Oryctolagus cuniculus: one gene and its partners. The protein of the gene in region 1 interacts with the protein of each later gene in a pairwise test. Links are inferred from orthologs where the notes say so. Each region holds a gene or a part of one and is shown in the gene's direction. Other genes may lie near its edges.

Region 1 (5,721 bases):
GGCGGTGGCTTTACCCACTATGCCACCGTGCCAGCCCCTAGGTGCTCGCTCTTTCTTTATCTTGAGAGACAGGCAGAAAGGATACACCCATCTGGTTCACTCTCCAAATCCCTGCAATGACTTGGGGGTAGGAGGATGCAGGGGGGTGAAGCCAGGAACACCATCCAGGTTTCCCAGGTGTATGGCAGGAACCGAATTCCTTGAGCCATCACCACTGCCTCACAAGGTCTGCACAGGCAGGAAGCCAGAGTCAAAGTCAGAGCCAGGCCTTAAACCCAGGTACTCCAGTGTCCTGACCAGTGGTTTAAACACTGTCCCAAACACCTGCCCTGTAGGTATTTTTGACTCACATTTCCCTAGTGTCTGATGACCTTGAACATCTTTTCATATGCTTACTGGCCATTTGTATGTCTGCTTTGGAGGAATGTCTATTTTATTCAGTTTTTAATTGGGTTGTCTTTTTATTGCTGAGTTATAAGAGTTCTTTTTTTTTTTTTTTTTTTTTTTTTTTTTTTTTTTTTTTTTTTGACAGGCAGAGTGGATAGTGAGAGAGACAGAGAGAGAAAGGTCTTCCTTTGCCGTTGGTTCACCCTCCAATGGCCGCCGCTGCAGCCGGCGCACCGCGCTGATCCTGGCAGGAGCCAGGAGCCAGGTGCTTTTCCTGGTCTCCCATGGGGTGCAGGGCCCAAGCACCTGGGCCATCCTCCACTGCACTCCCTGGCCATAGCAGAGAGCTGGCCTGGAAGAGGGGCAACCGGGACAGAATCCGGCGCCCCAACCGGGACTAGAACCCGGTGTGCCGGCGCCGCAAGGTGGAGGATTAGCCTATTGAGCCACGGCGCCGGCTCAGTTATAAGAGTTCTTTACATAACAAACTATAGTTAAAGATTGAGCATGGGTTGTTTTCTTTAAATCTGTGTGTGTGAGACAAACAGAGAAAATATTTGTTGATTACTTCTGAGAGAAGATGCTTGGTGATCAAACATTTTAGAGTTTTATAACACTAGTTGTCTAATTTCATTTTTAAACTTATGGCTTTATATTGTTATCATGAAGGTGTATTGATGTGTTAAGTAATTTTTTCTATGATAATGAACCAAAACATAAGATCATTTTTAATCATAAATGGTACAGTATGAGAAGGGATGATTTTTTAGAATAGGCTAAATATGCTCTGAATTTTTTCAGCTAAGAGAAAATGACAGCAATCAAGCATGCATTACAAAGAGACATCTTTACACCAAATGATGAACGTCTGCTGAGCATTGTGAATGTCTGCAAAGCAGGGAAAAAGAAAAAGAACTGCTTTTTGTGTGCTACAGGTGGGTGTTGATACTTGTCTGTCATTCTTTTATTCCTCAGGGACATTTCTTCCTGTATGAAATATTCTCCCTGTCTCTATAATTGGAACGATGGTTGAGCTGATGAATTAATTTTTAATTGTCTTGTTAAATATTGAGTAGCTACAGAAGAATTTCTGTAACATATATGTAAGGTGTAAAGACTCACTGTAGTGAACACTGTGTACTCAGCCCTCAGCGTAAGAAGGCTGTGTCTGTACCTGTGAAGTCTCCTTTGTGTCCTCCTGAGTCCAATTCCTTTCTCTCCCCCATTAGGAAATAACTGGCATCTGAATTTTGATTTACCATTTCTTTGTCATATTACCATGTATATTTGTCAATGTAGTTAGTTTTTGCATGTCTTTGAGCTTTGCTTCCAGATTGTGGGGAGATTTTGATTGGAATTCTTTTAAAACTATAAGTTGAATCATAGGACATGTATTTGTGACTTTCCCACTTAACATTTTGACATTCTGTTCATGGTCTTTTATCTTTTTAAGATTTATTTTAGGGCCGGCGCCGCGGCTCACTAGGCTAATCCTCTGCCTAGCGGCACTGGCACACCGGGTTGTAGTCCCGGTCGGGGCGCCGGATTCTGTCCCGGTTGCCCCTCTTCCAGGTCAGCCCTCTGCTGTGGCCAGGGAGTGCAGTGGAGGATGGCCCAAGTGCTTGTGCCCTGCACCCCATGGGAGACCAGGAAAAGCACCTGGCTCCTGGCTCCTGCCATCGGATCAGCGCAGTGCGCCGGCCACAGCGCGCCGGCCGCGGCGGCCATTGGAGGGTGAACCAACGGCAAAGGAAGACCTTTCTCTCTGTCTCTCTCTCTCTCACTGTCCACTCTGCCTGTCAAAAAAAAAAAAAAAAAAAAAAAAAAGATTTATTTTAGGCCGGCGCCACGGCTCAGTAGGCTAATCCTCTGCCTTGCGGCACCGGCACCCTGGATTCTAGTCTCGGTTGGGGCGCCGGATTCTGTCCTGGTTGCTCCTCTTCCAGTCCAGCTCTCTGCTGTGGCCCGGGAAGGCAGTGGAGGAAGGCAGTGGTGCTTGGGCCTTGCACCCGCATGGGAGACCAGGAGAAGCACCTGGCTCCTGGCTTCGGATCAGCGTCGTGCGCCGGCTGCAGCCTGCTGGCCGCAGTGGCCATTGGGGGGTGAACCAATGGCAAAGGAAGACCTTTTTCTCTGTCTGTCTCTCTCACTGTCCACTCTGCCTGTCAAAAAAATAAATAAATAAAAATAAATTTAAAAAGATTTATTTTATTTTATTTGAAAAGTAGACTTACAGAGAAAGGGAGGGAGAGATAGAGCATCCATTCATTGGTTCGCTCCCCAAATGGCCACAACAGTCAGCCCTGGGCCAAGCTGAAACCAGGAGCTTCATCCAGTCTCCCATGTAGGTGCAGGGGCCCAAGGACTTGGGCCATCTTCTGCTGCTTTTCCAGGCATATTAGAAGGCAGCTGGATTGGAAGTGAAGCAGCCGGGACTCGAACTGGCACCCATAAGGGATGCCAGCATCATCACAGGCGGAGGCTTAACCTGTTACACCACAGTGCTGCCCTCTTCCTTCTCTTTTTAAAATTTGTTTGAAAAGCAGAGTTACAGAGAGATGGAGAGCGAGAGATCTCATCTGCTGGTTCATTCCATAATGGCCACAACAGCTGAAGCCAGGAGCCTGAAACTCCATCCTGGTCTCCCATGGGGGTGGCAGGGCCCAAGGACTTGGACCATCTTCCACTGCTTTCCCAGGGACATTAGCAGGGAGCTGGGATCGGGAGTGGAGTAGCTGGGACACTACACGGTGCTCATAATGGGATGCTGGTGTCACAGGTGGCAGCCTACTCCACTGTGCCACAATGCCAGCCCCGTATGTTCAAGTATTTAAGTGTTATTTTTCTTCTTTCACTCAGCTGGAATTCTTTCATAGTCACTGCCATGTAGGAGTCTACTGTCTGAGTGGACCCCAGGTCACTGGCGATGAGCTTTGTTCCCAGGTTTTGCTGTTCAGACAGAACTTCTGTGAACATGTTTGTCTCCATCTTCCAGCAGCTACAGGCGGGAATTCTCTAGGGTGGAGCCTTAGCTGTGGAATTCTCCATGTCGCAGATCCGTGAATGATCAGTGCTGCTCTAAGCCAGACTCTTTTCTAGTTTTCACTCCCACAAACTGTGTGTGTTTTTGGTTCTCTACATCCCAGTCAATACTTGGTTTTATTAGATAATTACTTAATTATTGCCCCTTTGAAGGGGGTGAAATAGTATCTCATTGTAATTTAAAATTGTAGGGGCAGGTGCTGTGGTGAAGTGGGTAAAGCCACCACCTGTAGTGCTGGCATCCCATATGGGCACTGGTTCAACTCTTGGCTGCTCCACTTCCGATCCAGCTCTCTGCTATGGCCTGGGAAAGCAGTGGAGGATGGCCCAAAGTCCTTGGGCCCCTGCACACATGTGGGAGACCCAGAGCAAGCTCCTGGCTTTGGATCAGCACAGCTCTGGCAGTTACAGCCAATTGGGGAGTGAACCAGTGGATGGAAGACCTCTCTCTCTCTGCCTCTGCCTCTCCTTCTCTCTCTGTGTAACTCTGACTTTCAAATATATAAATAAATCTTTAAAAATAAAATAAAAATGTATTTTTAACAATGATATTGGATGTCCTTTCATTAATTTATTAAGCATTTAGTTTTCTTGTCTGAAATTTACCTTTTGCTCATTTTTCTGTCATGTTGACTGTGTTTTTACTGAGCTGTACAAATTCTTTATATCATGTAGGTAATCATCTTTTATTGGTTTATGTGCATTGCAGTTTTTCTTGGTCTTTTCATTTTGTATATGATGTCTTTTAGTGAAACATGTAATTTTAATAAATAGATACTAGTTCCTAGTTTTCTCTTTTTGCTTTTTACAGATATCTTTTAAGTAGTTAAAAATATTCTCCTATGTTCTAAAAATTTTATGGCTGGCACCGCGGCTCAATAGGCTAATCCTCCACCTGCAGCGCCGGCACACCAGGTTCTAGTCCTGGTCGGGGCGCCGGATTCTGTCCCGGTTGTCCCTCTTCCAGGCCAGCTCTCTGCTGTGGCCAGGGAGTGCAGTGGAGGATGGCCCAAGTGCTTGGGCCCTGCACCCCATGGGAGACCAGGAGAAGCACCTGGCTCCTGACTTCGGGTCAGCTCGGTGCGCCGTCCGCAGCGCGCCGGTCGTTGTGGCCACTGGGGGGTGAACCAACGGCAAAGGAAGACCTTTCTCTCTGTCTCTCTCTCTCACTGTCCACTCTGCCTGTCAAAATAAATAAATAAATAAAAATTTTATAATTTTGCCTTTCACATTTTTAAATCTTCAATTCTCTGTGTGTGTTTAGACTGATGTGTGTGGGTATTGTCTGTTTCTCAGTTTTCTCTTGTATTGTTTTTATTCTTTTTTTATTTTTTTATTTATTTATTTTTTTTGACAGGCAGAGTAGACAGTGAGAGAGAGAGACAGAGAGAAAGGTCTTCCTTTGCCGTTGGTTCACTCTCCAATGGCTGCTGCGGCCGGCGCGCTGCAGCCAGTGCACCGCGCTGATCCGAAGGAAGGAGCCAGGTGCTTCCTCCTGGTCTCCCATGGGGTGCAGGGCCCAAGCACTTGGGCCATCCTCCACTGCACTCCCGGGCCAGAGCAGAGAGCTGGCCTGGAAGAGGGGCATCCGCGACAGAATCCGGCGCCCCGACCAGGACTAGAACCCGGTGTGCCGGCGCCGCAAGGCGGAGGATTAGCCTAGTGAGCCGCGGCGCCAGCCTGATTTCAGAGATTTTTAAAAGAAAGGACATCTTAGATGAAATGAAGTATTACCTTTTGTATGTACCTTTGGTTTGCCAATACAGTATTTGGTGATTTTGCATCCATATTTACTAGATTCATGGTCCTTTAATTTTCTTTATCACATTATCTTTTTTAGCTTTATAACCAGTTATAAAGTGAATCAAAGAACATTCTATCATTCTCTGTACCCTGGAATAGTTGTGTGTTTGGAATTATTCATTTCTTGAAAGTTTTGCAAAAGATACCTGCAGAGCTGGGTTGGACTAGTTTTTCTGGTGAGAGAGGGAAGATTTTTACTTACCAATGCAATGTCTGTAATAGTTATAGAACTGTCCATTTTTTCTACTCGAGTCAGTTTTGGTAAGTCGCATTTTTTAGGGAATTTTTTTTTTTTTAAGGGAAAATGACTTAGTTTTGAAATGTGTTGGCATTATTCCAATCCATTTTCCATTCAACTGCTAGAGAAATTTTGAAATTTTTTCTTTATTTGAAAGACAGAGACAAATCTCTTGCCTACTGCTTCATTCCCCAAATGCAGGCAATAGCTGGGGCTGAGCCAGCAGCTGGGAACTCAGTCCAGGTCCCCCT
Region 2 (5,721 bases), on another chromosome or scaffold:
TACCTGTCAAATTGTGAAAAAAAAAAAAAATTAACAACAAGAATAACTGTGCACTAACTTCCCATGCAGGACCTCTGTCCTCAAAGAGTTGTATTATGAGAGCTAACTGTAAAACTTGTTCTCAAAGATTTATTTTGTTATAGTGTATTAAGTGGAGGGTATTCTTATGTCTCATAGGTTTTAGTTATGTCTAAATGTCCAACTCCATTGCTTATTTTCTTAGGTGCTTCCTTAATTAATGATAAAACTTGTTCTCATGGACTCTATTTTAATGTACTAAGTGGAGGATTTTTTTTTTTTTTTTTTTTTTTTTTGACAGGCAGAGTGGACAGTGAGAGAGAGAGACAGAGAGAGAAAGGTCTTCCTTTGCCGTTGGTTCACCCTCCAATGGCCGCCGCTGCAGCCGGCGCACCGCGCTGATCCGATGGCAGGAGCCAGGAGCCAGGTGCTTTTCCTGGTCTCCCATGGGGTGCAGGGCCCAAGCACCTGGGCCATCCTCCACTGCACTCCCTGGCCATAGCAGAGAGCTGGCCTGGAAGAGGGGCAACCGGGACAGAATCCGGCGCCCCGACCGGGACTAGAACCCGGTGTGCCGGCGCCACAAGGTGGAGGATTAGCCTATTGAGCCACGGCGCCGGCTCTAAGTGGAGGATATTTTTATGTCTCATAAATTAGAGTTATGTCTAAGTGCTTGCAAAAGATGTATCATTCTTGGGTGTTTCTTCAAAGTTAATTAAGTTTTTAAAAAGTGAAATTAACTTTGAGATGAGATGACATTGAACAGCCCTTGTCTTGACTGTTGAGGTTTTTTTGTTTTGTCTTTCATGTAAATTGTTGAGCTCTTTACTTAGTATAGAGTTGATCTTCTGTGTATAAAGTTAATTGAAAATGGATCTTTGTGAAGAGTGAGACTGGGAATGGGAGAGGGAGGAGGAGGGGATTGAGAGTGGTTGGGAGGGTGGGTGTGGTGGGAAGAATCACTATATTCTTAAAGTTGTACTTATGAAATGCATGAAGTTTGTATTCCTTATATAAAATACTTTTGGGAGAAAAAAGATATATCCTTGGATTGCTCACTCCTTATAAGGTAAATTACAGTATTTGTGTATGGATCAAGCAGTATTTTTATCACTACAGTTCATTCTAGGCAGCACATTTTTCTTAAGAGGGAACACATATATAGTTATCACCTTAAGTTTAGGTATCTTCTTAAAACTAATTATTGACATGCCAGGTCTTTATTTGTTTTTTACATAGGAGTTTGTGAAATTTCTAAATTCATTATAGATAAGTTCTAAAAAGAGTTGTTAGTATTTAGCAACATATCTGTGTCCAGTTCATCTGTTCTTCAGAATAATTTTTCATCACAGAAAGTAGGATTTAAAATTACTAAATATAGTATAGAAGCATGGCACATAGGAAAGTTTATTTACATTTCTAGGAGGAAAGGATTTACATTTACATTTTTAAAAGCATAAATTGTAATTATAATCATGATCATCATACATAATTACTTATATTTTTTCAGTGTCTCATACTCACCAGATCAATGCAGAATAATTGTGAGAAATATTACTTTAATGATTTTTTTTCTCATTAAATTTTAGGTGAAAAAAAATTATGAAGCTCTAAAACAGAGACAAGATGAGGAGCAGATGGTACAGAGCTCTCCTCCATTATCCGGTGAAGATAATAAATGGGAGCGAGAAAGTCAGGAAACAACCAGGGAACTTCTCAAAGTTAAAGACAGGTTAATTGAAGTAGAAAGAAATGTAAGTAGTTTTAAATTTTTAGTAGGAATAAAGATTTTTAGAAATAAAGGATTGTTAGAAAGTTAGAAAATTTGTCTAATCTGATTTTGTAGTTTTGTCCATTTTATACTTTCTTCACTGAATTGTTTAATAGCAAGTGACTGAAGAACTAATAATTTTTGTATTTACCCTCAAATAAATCCATCAGAAAATATTGTCATCTCTATCTTGGAGGTACGACTGGTAATGATTGTATATTTGCCAGTATTGTATTTGCTGATAAAATACTTTTTCATTGTATATTTTTTTTCCTGCTCTTGAGATATCCTTTCTACTGTCAGCTATTTCTCCTATTCAATATAGACTATAGGAAACCCAAATTGAAGTGCTAAACTATAATAGTATTTCACATATATAATTGAAAAGTGGTTCAACCTCCTGGTGTCAAGATGGCATTTATAAATGTGTCAGTATTTAATATTATTCCAATGTAAATATTTTACCCTCTTATTTGAACAAAGGAATACAAGAGAACAGTACTACAACCCATCTTAAACAGCTCTGATTTTAATATGTGAATCAAATCATGATGTGCCCACATGTATATATAGCTTAAAAGTGAATGTTATCTTTGTCTTCTAATATAAAACCGATCTGTTGTGATAATCAGTGTTAACCTTTTGCATATAGGCCTTTTGCATATTAAAATGTTATTTCTTTTTCTTTTAAGATTTTATTTGAGAGGTAGAGTTACGGACAGTGGAAGGGAGAGACAGAGAGAAAGGTCTTCCGTCCGTTGGTTCACTCCCCAAATGGCCGCAATGGCTGGAGCTGCACCAATCCGAGGCCAGGAGCCGGGTGCCTCTGCCTGGTCTTCCGTGTGGGTGCAGGGCCCCAAGGACTTGGGCCATATTCTGCTGCTTTCCCAGGCTACAGCAGAGAGCTGGATTGGAAGAGGAGCAGCCGAGATTCGAACTGGTGCCCAAATGGGATGCCAGTGCCACAGACAGAGGATTAACCCAGTGCGCCAAGGCACCGGCCCCTTAAAATGTTATTTCTGTTATCTGGTGGATTTTTTTGTTGATGCCCTTTTAAAATTTTTATTTATTTTCATTATATTTGAAAGACAAAGATAGAAGAGAGAGCTTCTATCCACTGGTTCACTCCCTATATTCCCACAATAACCAGGACTGGGCTGAAGCCAGCAACCCAGAATTCAATTCAGATCCCCCATGTTGGTGGCAGGGACCCAGATATTTGAACCATCACTTGCTGCCTCCTAGGATGTATGTTAGTAAGAGGCTAGAATCAGGAGAAGAGCCAGAACTTGAACTTAGCACCCTGATAAGGGATGTAAGCATCTCAGACAGGGTCTTAACCACTGCACCAGATGCCCACCATTGTGGATAGTTTTTGATGCTAATTTTTTAATGAATTTTTAAAAAAGATTTATTTTGAAAGAGTTCAGAGAGAGAAGGAGAGACAGAGAGATATATCTTCCATCTGCTGGTTCACTTTCCAGATGGCCTCAATGGCTGTGGCTGAACCATTCAGGAGCCAGAAGCTTCTTCTGGGTTTCCCATGTGGGTGGCACAGGCCTAGGTAATTGGGTCAACATCCACTGCTTTCCCAGGCCATTAGGAGGGAGCTGGATTGGAAATGGAGCAGCCAGGATATGAACTGATGCCTATATGGAATGCCAGTGCCATAAGCAGCAGCTTTGCCAGCTGTGCCACAATGCCTACTTCATGAATTTTTATTTAGAAGTAATCCAGAATATATAATACCCATGACAAGCATTTTAATATATATCACTAAATAGAATGATCTGTGATTTGTATAATAATTCACCTGTTTGTAAAATTGAAATATGGCTATATATACTGGAAAAATTGAAATGGTACATTTCATTTGGAGATGCTCCAGAAGTCCTATAGTTATAAAGTTTTAATGAGTGTTTTATCCTGGGAAAAAAAGTAACTGAAGAAAATATGTACCATCTGTTAGGTTTGTTATGGACTAAATTTTTTAAACAGATGGTTAAGATTGTTTCTGTAAAACTGTTTCTCTTCCAAGTATTTGTGTTTGGAAAATGCTTTGTTTTGCCACTACCCCTGGGACTGCCACTCACTTCTATATACATTTGCCTTTAGGTAAATTAGGAAAGTTATACCCTCTTAGCTGAACATTTATTACTTTTGATGGTATTAAAACCATACAACTGACAGCCTCATTCTAGTTTCTTTGTTAAAATACTTATCTTTAGAATGGAATATTTTCAGGATATTACAAAGCAGACAGGACAGTTGCAGCAGTATTTTAGGATTTAGTATTATTTTTTTTCTTAGATTACATTTCTTTTTTATAACTTTTTTAAAGATTTATTTGAAATGTAGAGTTACAGAGAGGGAGAGACAGAGAGAGATCTGCCATCCTCTGGTTCACTCCTCAAATGGCTACAGTGGCCAAGGCTGGGCCAGGATGAAGCCAGGAGCCAGGTGCTTCTTCCAGTTCTCCCACAGGTGAAGGGGCTCAAGGACTTGAGCTGTCTTCTGCTGCTTTCCTAGGCATATTAGCAGGGGGCTGTATTGGAAATGGAGCAACTGGAACTTGAACCAATGTCCATATTGGATGCCGATGCTGCAGGTGGCAGCTTATTCCACTACACCACAACACTGGCACCTGATTAAATTTCTGTTTAAAATTTAGGATAGATAGAATGTTGTAATTTTTTTTTCTCTTTTAAGATTGTTGGGTGTGGTTTGGGAGGGTGGATTATAGTGGTAATAAATATTGGTTGTCTAAAATTCCAGTATGAATATCTGTTAGAATATCATTTAATGTTGCTTTTACCTTTAATACATGTATTTTTTTATTTTTAAGAATGCTACACTACAAGCAGAGAAGCAAGCATTGAAAACTCAACTGAAGCAACTTGAGACACAGAACAATAATTTGCAGGCTCAGATTCTTGCACTTCAGAGGCAGACAGTGTCATTACAAGAACAGAATACCACTCTGCAAACACAGAATGCCAAGCTTCAGGTTGTAATGTGATATTTTGTGGATATGCAGCCAAACTCTTGAATTATGCTATTGAAATAAGTAATGTTACACTTGGAAACAGTGTTTATTAGTGTGTGCATTTAGTAATTAGTTGAAGACATAAAATATTTTTGGGCCATTCCAACCTACCAAAAATTAGCTATTATTATATCAGAGCCTCAAAATATTAATTAAATAATCCTCTCGATAAATATAAATGCATAAAGATAATTTATATTTAAAGTCTTTGTATCCTTTCAACAGTTGATAATCAGCCACAAATATTTGCTTTATGGTACAGTTGCAGCATGTAATTCCTTATTTCATTTTTACAGCTTTCTTATCATTTAGCTATTAGAGAATAATACAACATGGGACTCGTCTTTAGACTTGCTCTTAGCTCAGAGGATCCATCTTTCACATAACACTGCCACAATCTTTTGAAATAAAAAAGTCAAGTTGGAGAAAGTGCAACTCTGAAATCTCTTAAAGAACCAAAAGAAGTTCCCTATCAGAATCTAAAAGTTTTCTTTCAATTATTCTTTTCCAAGTGATAAGTTTGACTTGGACTCTCAAGAAATTTTCTAAAGTAGTTTTTCAGTTCTGTGAGCTCTCAAGTTATAGAAGTGATAACCTAGCATTTCAAATTCTGTACTTTTTAATATGTTGAATACAAATGGTTGCTAATCAGTGGTTGCTAATAAGCTTTCTTTGAAATACATTCAACCCAAAGGATATAGGAGTATATATACTATATGTATCTGTATACCAATTAGAGTTTCTTTAAATTAAAATTGTAATTTTAATTTTTAAACAAGAGCAATATGAACTATTTTTCTTATATCTAGTAACAGTATACTTTCTTATAGGTTGAAAATTCTACCCTCAATTCCCAAAGTACTTCACTTATGAATCAGAATGCACA
Region 3 (5,721 bases), on another chromosome or scaffold:
CTAGTCCCAACATTCCAGGATAAATCTCTTAGTTTGCCACAGCATAGCCTGCCACAGCAAGATTTGACAGCACTGCACGAACAGTCACACATACAGAGGGTAATACTTGGTGCTGGACAGGAAACTCAACATAAACAAAGTGCACTGGAGAATATCCAAGGAAATACATTTGAAGAAACTGGCTTGTCTTCCTTCATACCCCAGTTAGCACAAGCTTCATCTCCCTTACTGCCTTCTGAGTCTGGTGCAACCCAGGTATTTCTTTCAACAGAAAGTGATAATAAAATTCCATCAAGCCAGTTTCAGATCCCAGAACTGCAGGATAGGCTTTTGAGAATATCACAACTTATCCAGCCCCAGAAGGATAATTTGAATGCACTTCAAGAACAGTTAGCTACTCAGAGGGAAGCCATCTTTCAGCTCAGACAGGAAGCTCAGGAAGAACAACTTTTACATCGAGAGAGTGAGTGGAAGGGAAGACTATCTCCTGAGCAAGTTGCCACCTCTTCCTTACCCCAAGTAGCACAGCTTCCATTTACTTCATTACCTCTTACTGTATCTGAAAGAACCCAAGAATCTTGTTCAACTAACAGTGATTATACAATCTCTTCAAGCCATTCTGAAATGCCAAGATTGCCTGATAGGCTGTTGGGTTTATCACATAGTGTTTTACCTCAGCAAGATAATTTGATTTCACTTCAGGAACATTTGCATGCACAGGCGAATTCCCTTCCTTCTATTGAAAATACCTCAAAAGAATTTATTTTACCTAGACAAGGTAAATATGAGGAAAAAGTATCTAATGAGCATTTTATCCAAACTCACCATGATGATTTGAAGGCACTTCAACAGCAGTTAGATATCCAGAGGAAAGCCATTCGGTCTAGGCAGGAAGTCCAAGAAGAAGTACTTTTTAAAAGATTAAGTAAATTGGAGAAAAGGGTATCATCTGAACAGATTAGTTCCTCTTCCTTCTTACCCCTTGATGCACTGCCTTTTGCCAGCTCTGATAGAACCCAGAAATCTTTACCAACTGAAAGTAATGGTACTCTTCCCTCAAGTCATCCTGAAATCACAAGATCACAGGATAGGCTTTTGAGTTTTTCACAGCCTATTCATCAACAAGGTAATGTGACAGCACAATTGGACTTACCTGGAGAAGTGTGTTCTAATAAGAGACCTCAAGAAGAACTACTTTTAAACAAAGTAAATAAGCTAAACAAAAGTGAATCTACTGAGCATGCTATCCCTACGTTTTTCAAGGAAACAGAGCATTCATTTATTCCACTACCTTTTGCTGAAGCTAAATCTAAAAGTATATGTGAATTGCATTCATCTAAAAACGAACATGCAGCTCTGCCAAGTGATTCTGTATTTCCAAGGTTTGAAGATAGGCTTTTGAGTTTTTCACAGCCTGTCTTAGCTCAACAAGATAACTTGGGTCTTCAGAAGCAGTTGGGTTTCGAAAGAGAAGTTCTGCATTGTAGCCAGCAAGCCCAAGAAGAATTGCAGGTACAGAGACAAACAGCATTGCAGCAGCAGATCCAGAAACATCAAGAGACTTTGAAGGATTTCTTTAAAGACAATCAGGTATGTTGTAAGGTATATCTAAGAAGTAATGGAAGTTCGGAAACAACTCAGTTTTAACCCTAGGCCTATGAGCTTTTAGTTAATGAGAGTAAGTGGTTTGATTTTAAATATGTTTTAATTTTTAAGCAGTGTAGAAATTAAATTGATAGACCTCACATGAAGTTTATGAGCTTAATGGTTATTTGAAACCAATTAATTTTTTAAGAGGTTTATATTTTTATTTGAAAGGCAGAGTTAACACAGAGAAAGAGAGTGACATCTTCGATTCACTGGTTCACTCCCCAAGTGTCAGCAGTGGCCAGAGCTAGGAGCCAGGAGCTTTTGCCTGGTCTCCCACATGGATTCAGGGGTCCAAGCACTTGGGCCATCTTCCGCTCCTTTCCCAGGTGTATTAGGGAGCAGGATTGGAAGTGGAGCAGCCAGGACTTCAACCAGTGCACATATGGATGCTGCACAGCACTGCAAACCATTGTACCAGGGCTGTCCCCAGAAACCAATGAATTTCTAGTGGAAACTTTGTAAAACAATGTAGCCTTTTATTTGGACATTTGGTATGAGATTTAAACATACCGTAAAATTAAAATTGTAAAAGTAATTGGTTAGCAGAATGTATGTAGTAGATCTTATGCTTTTTATCTATAACATTCTGTTGACATTTATGTGTGAATATGAATCAAGTCCCATTTTTTTCCTCAGGTAACACTATTATTGCCTGTTGTGAAACAGCCATTATTTTAGGATGATGGAGAGCTGGACAGGCTGCTTCTATCTGAATTATTGTAAAGACTCTGCCAAAGTCACTCAGACATTCATTATTTCTCTCCACAGGAGACAAGTGTTTTCTACTAAAAAGGAGTGTATCCATTTTTTATTTTAAATAGCTGCTTTTTGTTCATTTATTTCTTTAGAGATTTACTTATTTGTTTGAGAGGCAGAGTTCCAGACAGAGAGGTCTTCCATCCACTGGTTCCCTCCCCAAATGGACGCAACAGCTGAGCCATTCAGAAGCCAGAAGCTTCTTCCTGGTCTCTCACGTGGGTGCAGGGGCCCAAGCACTAGGGCCATCTTCCGCTGCTTTCCCAGACCATTAGCAGGAAATGGAGCAGCCAAGACTTGAACCAGCACCCATATGGGATGCCAGTACTGCAGGTTGAGGCTTAACCTACTATTCCACAGTGCTAACCCCTACTTTTTTTTATTGAAAACAATATTCTATGAATCCTTTGATGTTCAAGAAAAGTTGAGTTTTTGAGATTGATCATTTGAAGGAAAAGCAATGGCAAATGAAAATGGGGGATCCTTGAGTATGATTGTTTATTGAAAGAAAGATACAGGAGAGGCAAGATTTTAGGTTTAGCGTTATGAATTATTGCATTTTTTGATGGGAATATAACTTTTTCAGTATCTTATTTTTTCTTTTAGCTGTGGGTAGCATGGTAATAGTGCAGTTGGTAGAACTATTTGGTTGAGGTTCTAAATTAAGAAGGAAGATATTAAAAAAAGGGAGATATAAATCTAATGAATTCTTCACATGATCCCTCAATTTGTCCTTATCTGTCCACTTTTTTAGACAAGTAATTCCACAGTTGAAAATGACTTAAAAATGCAGAAGTTGGGGCACTTCGGAGAGTGGCTTCCTCGTATCCAAGACCTTGCAAGCAATGATCAGGAAAATAGTCGTGTAGATAGGAGCAACTCTGATTATAATCAGCTGCTTTCAGAACATACTAGTGCCAAGCAAAGTGGTAAGATATTGCAATTTATTTATTTTTTATTTTTTATTTTATTTTATTTTTTGACTGGCAGAGTGGACAGTGAGAGAGAGAGAGAGAAAGGTCTTCCTTTACCGTTGGTTCACCCTCCAGTGGCCACCGCGCGGCACGCTGTGGCCGGCGCACCGCGCTGATCTGAAGCTGGGAGCCGGGTACTTCTCCTGGTCTCCCATGGGGTGCAGGGCCCAAGCACTTGGGCCATCCTCCACTGCACTCCCGGGCCACAGCAGAGAGCTGGCCTGGAAGAGGGGCAACCGGGACAGAATCTGGCGCCCCGACTGGGACTAGAACCCGATGTGCCGGTGCCGCAGGCGGAGGATTAGCCTATTGAGCCGCAGTGCCAGCCTGATATTGCAATTTATTATAATTATTCTGATTATTATTTGCTCTCATCCTCTGCAGTTTTTTTGTTTGCTTGTTTGTGGTGTGTTTGTTTTGTTTTGTTTTGTTTGCCTAACTTTGTCATTGACTTGATAGGTGAGCATTTGGACAAAGAGTTGGGTAGAAGATCCTCAAAGCCACCTGTAGCAAAAGTTAGATGTGGATTGGAGGTAAACCAACATGAACTTAGTGCTATACAAGAAGTAGAATCACCAGCAAGTGTTAGAACTTCTATACCAGGTAAACAGAGGGCTTGATAAAATATTTTAATAGTCTGCTAGTCTTCTAGATTTTTTTTGGCTGGGTTTATTTTATTTTATTTTATTTTTGTTAATGAAACATAGGCTTTGAATACTTATAATAGGAAAATATTGGTTTTACATATACAGTATTTAAAACTTGAGCTTAAGAAAATGTGGCTTTAAGTAACTAGTCTTTATTTCGTGTATGAATGACACCAATGTACTATATACAGCAGTTCTTCCATGTAGCATATTCTGACACACTTGTTCCCTATTATTTTTGATGTTTACTTCTAAACTTGCTATTTTAGGATGTAACCCAGTTTGTTTTTGTTTTCTTTTTTTCTCTTAATGACTTTTTGCTTTAATACTTTCAGTGCTGTTTTCCTGTATTTTTTATTTAAAAAATTCTAAAAATACTGGCTTTAAGTACAATTAAAATAGGTATATTTTTTCACTATTATTTCTACATCTGAGAACCTAGAAAAATTCTTCCCTATAAACTTTGTTAAGTGGTCCTGTTAGAATTTCTTAGTTATTTTTAGATTTCAAAGTTACCAAATAAATTTCCTGATCAAAATTTAACAAAACAAATCCTTTTGTAAAGGGAAACATACGCTTTTTGTATAGAGAAGTGTAATGAAAACATTGTCTATTTTGGTCTTGAGTCATATGGTACTGTACTTTTGTTTCTGACTGAAAGAATAAGAAAGGTAGAGATTCACAGTGACGCCTAAGAATGAATTCCTTTGTGGCCAGTATCAGCGCATGTCAGGTTAAGCCGCTGCCACTGATGCTGATATTTTACGTTGGAGCACTAGTTGGGGTCCTGGGTGCTCTGCTTCCCATCCAGCTCCCTGCTAATGGCCCTGGGAAAGCAGCACAGTGATCTTGGTGATCAAATGCTTGAACCATTGCCACTCACATACAAGACTCAGATGAGTTCCTGGCTCCTAGCTCCTGGCTTCAGTTTGGTCCAACCCCAGTCTGTGGCTAGTTAGGGAGTGAACCAGTAAATGGAACATCTCTTTGTCTCCCTTTTTTTCTGTCATTCTGCCTTTCAGATAAATAAAAGAAAAAGAAACAGTCCCTTTCTTGCTTCCTCATGATGTCAGTGGAGCATGTGAAGATTTTATTTTACTAGGCTTTGGGAGCTTTTCTGTTTTGCAGTGTTTGACAAACCACAACTGTTTGGGAATTGATCATCAGAGATTTAGTAAATCACGATCATGTCTGAGATTGCAAAAATGTCATTTTGTCTAAAAGAGAAATAACTTTTTCCCTTTCCTCTACTTTTCTCTTTCAACTGTCTTTTTTAAGTGAATGTTATCCAGATGTCAAGCCTTGACCTTCCCTTGTCCATACTTAACCAAACCCAATGAGCCACCAGATCTGATCTCTACTTTGTGAACTCTGCTATCTGTCCCTTCTTTCCATTGCTCTATCACTCCATTATTCTGACTCTCATTTTTTTCCTGGATGGCTGCTACAGCTTGCAGTGTTTGCTGTTTCCAGTCCTGCTTGACTCTAGTCCATTTTCCCATGATATATTCAGCTAATCTCCCTCTCCTTTCTCCTGTTTCGAACTCTAAGGCAGTTTATTTTGTTGTTTGTTTTTTATTTGTTTGAAAGAAAGAAGTAAACAGAGACAAAGAGATTTCATTCCCCAAATGTCCACAGTGATTGGTTTGAGGGTCGGGATTGGGGAAGCAAAACTGGTAGCCAGGATCTCAACC

What was found.
Region 2: the proteins of EXOC1 (region 1) and CCDC88A interact in a two-hybrid assay, tested with the Homo sapiens proteins (2 studies listed by BioGRID and IntAct). The link is inferred for Oryctolagus cuniculus from reciprocal best matches to the Homo sapiens genes EXOC1 and CCDC88A.
Region 3: the proteins of EXOC1 (region 1) and CEP295 interact in a two-hybrid assay, tested with the Homo sapiens proteins (2 studies listed by BioGRID and IntAct). The link is inferred for Oryctolagus cuniculus from reciprocal best matches to the Homo sapiens genes EXOC1 and CEP295.

The regions. Positions count from the first base shown.
Region 1 is NC_091439.1:108,633,160-108,638,880, reverse strand, and holds part of EXOC1 (exocyst complex component 1), read left to right. Parts: intron 1-1,188; 5' UTR 1,189-1,198; coding exon 1,199-1,322; intron 1,323-5,721.
Region 2 is NC_091433.1:147,276,819-147,282,539, forward strand, and holds part of CCDC88A (girdin), read left to right. Parts: intron 1-1,607; coding exon 1,608-1,772; intron 1,773-4,634; coding exon 4,635-4,796; intron 4,797-5,665; coding exon 5,666-5,721. UniProt on the Homo sapiens protein: Bifunctional modulator of guanine nucleotide-binding proteins (G proteins). Acts as a non-receptor guanine nucleotide exchange factor which binds to and activates guanine nucleotide-binding protein G(i) alpha subunits.
Region 3 is NC_091432.1:84,861,142-84,866,862, forward strand, and holds part of CEP295 (centrosomal protein of 295 kDa), read left to right. Parts: coding exon 1-1,590; intron 1,591-3,160; coding exon 3,161-3,335; intron 3,336-3,839; coding exon 3,840-3,983; intron 3,984-5,721. UniProt on the Homo sapiens protein: Centriole-enriched microtubule-binding protein involved in centriole biogenesis.